Macaca fascicularis: one gene and its partner. The protein of the gene in region 1 interacts with the protein of each later gene in a pairwise test. Links are inferred from orthologs where the notes say so. Each region holds a gene or a part of one and is shown on either strand. Other genes may lie near its edges.

What was found.
Region 2: the proteins of BOLL (region 1) and small EDRK-rich factor 2-like interact in a two-hybrid assay, tested with the Homo sapiens proteins (2 studies listed by BioGRID and IntAct). The two-hybrid records come from large-scale screens. The link is inferred for Macaca fascicularis from reciprocal best matches to the Homo sapiens genes BOLL and SERF2.

What each region holds. Positions count from the first base shown.
Region 1 is NC_088386.1:93,362,296-93,365,813, reverse strand, and holds part of BOLL (protein boule-like), read left to right. Parts: intron 1-1,110; coding exon 1,111-1,238; intron 1,239-3,518. UniProt on the Homo sapiens protein: Probable RNA-binding protein, which may be required during spermatogenesis. May act by binding to the 3'-UTR of mRNAs and regulating their translation.
Region 2 is NC_088387.1:73,609,061-73,611,221, forward strand, and holds small EDRK-rich factor 2-like, read left to right. Parts: upstream 1-1,289; 5' UTR 1,290-1,341; coding exon 1,342-1,518; 3' UTR 1,519-1,661; downstream 1,662-2,161. UniProt on the Homo sapiens protein: Positive regulator of amyloid protein aggregation and proteotoxicity. Induces conformational changes in amyloid proteins, such as HTT, driving them into compact formations preceding the formation of aggregates.

The sequences.
Region 1 (3,518 bases):
AAGAACCATTAAAATAAATAATAACAATACTAGATCAAATGCAGTGAAAATATAAAAGCTGAGGAGCAATAGTATTACTTAAAGTGATAGGCCCGTGCTATTTGAAGTGTGGTTTGCAGACAGTATCAGTTCATTGGAAGCTGTCAAAATGCAAACTCTTAGGCCCTGTCCCAGATTTACTGACTCAGAATCTCTGAAGATAAGTCCCTGGAATTTGCATTTTAATAAACAATTTAGGTGATTCTAATTTATGTGAAACTTTGAGAAGCACTGGTACAGGTGGAAGAAGAATTGTCAGTTTCACTAATTTATATAACCTTGCTGGTTAAGACCCTAATCTAATTTGGCTAATTTAACTTTTAAAGTCTCCTCCATGACAAAAAAAAATATGTATATTATTTATTGTTTTTTGGTTTGTGGTGGGGGTTTATATAACTTGGCCTGGGAAACGAGATGGGGACCCCAGACTAGCCACATGAAGACTTGAGGTCATGTTTGCAACAGCAGCAGTTGTAGCAAAGGGAGACTAGATAGAGAATAGATCATAGAAAAGAGAGAGAAAAGAGAGCCATAGCATGAATGAATGTTTGCTGGTAGGATATCCAAAGAATTAGTAGGGTGGAACCAAAATGTCTTCAGGAAAGTAGAATCTTCTCCAACTCTACTGCCTCCATCATCTTTGAACTTTCAGAAATAAAAAGTCTAGCCAAGACCTTAGGAACTTTACTATAGTGTATATAGTCTTAAAGTAATTATACATAATTTATATTTGTACAAATAATTACTTTGCTGATGATAATCTAAATTGTTAAGCTCTGTGTAGCATACTGGTGTTGGAATCTGAATTGATACATATTTAGTATTTCTATTAGCATTGTTTATCTTTTCTTTTAATCATCTTAAACTAAAAGCTTTAAGGTATTGAGTTTAAAAATACATGCTTCAAAGATACTTTGACATAAGGAAGTTTTTTTAAATACCTGTGACATTCCATTTTTACCATAGCTACAAAGGTATATTAAGATAAATATTTTTCTGAAGTGTTTAGAAACTACATTTTTAACAGTTAAATTGAACGTTTTAATTATTATTATTTAATCTTTGCTTTAGGTTCTAGTATAATGCCAGCAGCTGGAACAATGTATCTAACAACTTCAACTGGATATCCTTATACTTACCATAATGGTGTTGCTTATTTTCATACTCCAGAGGTAACTTCTGTCCCACCACCTTGGCCTGTAAGTAATTTCATTTAAAAAGGATTTCTACCTATTACTTATTGATTTTTTTAATGTTTGTTTTATTTCTGAAATATTTCAACCACAGATAATTACAAATAATAACACACGTCAACTAAATTTAATAGACATCAACATTTTGCAACATTTACTTAAGTTCTTAAAATGGGGAGTAAAGTAAGACAGCTTCATGTCAGTTTTCCTTACCTTCTTTCCTGTTCAGAAGTAAGCAGAATATCTTTCCTATTCATTTCATATATTTTTACTACAAATATATGTATTCATAAATGACATCTAGTATTGTTTTAGTGGTTTTTAAACACTGTATAAATAATCTGGTTTTTACACTCAGCATTATATTTTTGAGATCAAACCATGTTTGTCTCTTTTTAGATTATATCACATTGATCCTTGTATATGTAGTTCACCTATTTTAATATTTTATAATATTTCATTGTATGAGTGTATTACAATTTTTTATATTCCTCTATTGATGGACATTTTAAGTTTTTTCTACAAACAAGGTTACATTGAATACCCAGATCTTGTATGTATTATGTGAGGGTTTTTCTGGGTGGGGCAGTGGTTTTCTAAGGTTTTACTTATTATATAAATTATCTCTGAATTTTTTTGAAATATTATGAAAACAGTCACTCATTTTTAAGTTGATATCTGAAGTTTATTATAAGTTTAAATAGTTTAGGAATATTGTATATTGTAGGTTTATATATTTTCATCAAAACTTTGTATCTGTAGATTTAGCTTACTTAATAGTGGAAAGTGTCTGCTCTATAACTCAGTTAACAAAGCCGGTCAACCAAATAAAACTACTGAATAAAACTTGCTTTTAGAAAATTCCGACTTTATTTTTAAACTCAAATAAATGATTTAATATGTATCCATGTGACCATCGGCTAATTTAAGTTTGTTCCCTAGATGAAATAAGTATCATCTCCCCTTTAATACTTCTTATGCAAGCTCTTTCTACTTTGCCTTCTCTCATTTCTCAGGGCATTGCCCTCTTGAGTTGTATATCTGTTTGATGCCCTGTTGGTATTTACATTCCTGAACAAAGCATTATAGCAAGATCCAGAAGGAGAGAGAAATACACCTTTCTTTAGGGAAGGAAAAAGGTGATGGTGAAAGGAGAGATTTTAAAAGAAGAATACATATTACACAGACACAGTCACAGGCAGATCACATCAGAAAGCAGTACATATGAAGTTTAGAATATGAAAATTCATACTCTTAAAGTTATTCATGCCCATGTATTTATTACTGGAAAATTTTTGTACTTCCCTAATGTACCTTGGCCTAGGCTAGGATATATACATAGAATTTCACATTCATGAAATATGCATATCTTTGACTAGATGTTGCCAAAGAGCTTTTGAAAGTGTACATTCTAGCCAACAGTTTATGACAGCCCCATTTTTCCATAATCTGCCAACCCTTAAAATTACCAGATTTTTAAATTTATGTCAATATTATTTTATGCAGTAGTATTTTGTTTTACTTTTATTTGCCTAACTTGTAGTAATATTGAACATATTTTCATGTATTTATTGGCCATTCTACTTTCTTCTATGAACTGCCTGTTCATATCCATTGTCCATTTTTCTGTTGGGGTGATTTGTTTTTATCTTGAGTTCGTTACATGAATTTTGTGGGTTGCCAATATCTTCTTCCAATTTGTGGCTTGTTCATTAACTCTTTTTGATTTTTTTCTCATGAAAATTTTATGATTTTTTTGGTCTTTTTTTACAAGAATTTTTTCTTCTTTTTTTATTTTTTATTTTTTCTTATACTTTAAGTTCTAGAGTATATGTGTACAATGTGCAGGTCTGATACATAGGTATACATTTGCTGCAAAAACTCATCATTTACATTAGGTATTTCTCCTAATGCTATCCCTCCCCCAGCCTCCCACCCCCCAACAGGCCCTGGTGTGTGATGTTCCCCACCCTGTGTCCGAGTGTTTTCATTGTTCAATTCCCACCTATGAGTGAGAACATGCGGTGTTTGGTTTTCTGTCTTTGTGATAGTTTGCTGAGAATGATAGTTTCCAACTTCATCCATGTCCCTACAAAGGACATGAATTCATCCTTTTTTATGACTGTATAGTATTCATTGGTGTATATGTGCCACATTTTCTTAATCCAGTCTATCACTGATGGACATTTGGGCTGGTTCCAAGTCTTTGCTATTGTGAATAGTGCCACAATAAACGTATATGTGCATGTGTCTTTATAGTAGCATGATTTATAATTCTTTGGGTAT
Region 2 (2,161 bases), on another chromosome or scaffold:
GCCACTAGCCCATAATGTGTCTCTGTGTGAGTTGGAAAAAAGGCAAATCTTCCTCTAGGTGAATGGTTCCCTATTCAAGGCACACAGCTAGAAGAATGGAATGTGGGCTGAATTTCAGGCCCCACTCACTGTCTTAAGCCAGGCGAACTTGCAGAGGGTACAACATGCATGGCGTTATGCAAAAGCCCCAACAGAGAGATTACTTCTCCATAAACTAATTTTTCTTTTTTTTTTTTCTTTTATTTTCTCAAGACATAAGGTCTCCTCTGTTACCCAGGCTGGAGTGTAGTGGCACAATCATGGCTCACTGTAGCCTCAACCTCCAGGGCTCAAACGATACTTCCACCTTAGCTTCCCAAGTAGCTGGGACCACAGGCATGTACCACCACACCTGGCTAATTTTTATTTTTAGTAGAGATACGGTTTTACTATGTTTCCTGAGCTCAACTGATCCTCCCGCCTCAGGTTCCCAAAGTGCTGGGATTACAGGTGTGAGCCACCGTGTCCAGCCTAATTCTTCTTTTTAATAAAAAAGGATCTACCTTGTTTCCAATTTTATAAAAGAGGAAGTTGATGGTAAAATAATCTAACAAGGAAATGCATTATAATGAGAAACCAATTACAGAAACTTTGTCTTATAAATGAAGCACCTATAAAATCTACTTACTAAAAAATTAGTGTATCTCTAACTTGACTTCTTTTTTTTGAGATGGAGTTTCACTCTTGTCGTCTAGGCTGGAGTGCAACGGCGCCATTTCGGCTGTCTGCAACCTCCGCCTCTTGGGTTCAAGTGATTCTCCTGCCTCAGCCTCCTGAGTAGCTGGGATTACAGGCACTTACCACCATGCCAGCTAATTTCTGTATTTTTAGTAGAGATGGGGTTTCATCATGTTGGTCAGGTTGGTCTCGAACTCCTGACCTCAGATGATCCACCCACCTTGGCCTCCCAAAGTGCTGGGATTACAGGCATGAGCCCCCTGCCCCGCCTAACTTGACTTCTTTTAACAAGCATCCATTATGATTCAAGGAACATATTTTTGAAACACAACACCTAAAACTGATTAAGAGGCTTATCCTGATAACATAAGAAAGCTACATGAACACCATTTCTGAATATTTTAAAGCGATAACAAAATTAAGTACTGTTTCTATAACAGTAGAATGGTACGAAAAATACTCCTTAAATGTATTTATTTATTGTAAATAACTTATACAGCCAAATTAATTTGAATTATCCAACATGAAATTAACTTTGTGAAACCAAACACTTCTTTACAAAAGAATTTTGCGGGACAGAACGAGGGGACGTAACGGAGGCAGGTCGGAGCCGCTGCCGTCGCCATGACCCACGGTAACCAGCGTGAGCTCGCCCGCCAGAAGAATATGAAAAAGCAGAGCGACTCGGTTAAGGGAAAGCGCCGAGATGACGGGCTTTCTGCTGCCGCCCGCAAGCCGAGGGACTCGGAGATCATGCAGCAGAAGCAGAAAAAGGCAAATGAGAAGGAGGAACCCAAGTAGCTTTGTGGCTTCGTGTCCAACCCTCTTGCCCTTCGCCTGTGTGCCTGGAGCCAGTCCCACCACGCTCGCCTTTCCTCCTGTAGTGCTCACAGGTCCCAGCACCAATAGCATTCCCTTTGCCCTGAGTCTGCAGCAGGTCCCTTTTGTGCTTCCTTCCCCTCAGGTAGCCTCTCTCCCGCTGGGCCACTCCCGGGGGTGAGGGGGTTACCCCTTCCCAGTGTCTTTTACTCCTGTGGGGCTCAACCCAAAGTATTAAAAGTAGCTTTGTAAAAAAAAAAAAAAAAAAAAAAAAAAAAAAAAAAAAAAAATTTGCCTGTATCTTATTTAAAACATTTATAAATATGCTTCCTACAATGCCTTGCCAATTAACTGTGAAAAAAAGTTTAACTTCAACATTAAAAATAAGCAATAGAGAAATAACCCAAAACACCATCATAATTGAGAACACCTGATTATCAATGATTTGTCCAAGGTACAATATTGAACTTTGTAGAACAAAGGGAATAAAAATTCTCTGGGTAGAACTTACGAACAATTTTTAATTATAGTACCCAATCTGTTTTTGTTGACTGGTTTGTTGTTTATCAACAGGGTCTCACTCTGTTGTCCAAGCTGGAGTGCGATGGTGCAATCATGGCTCACT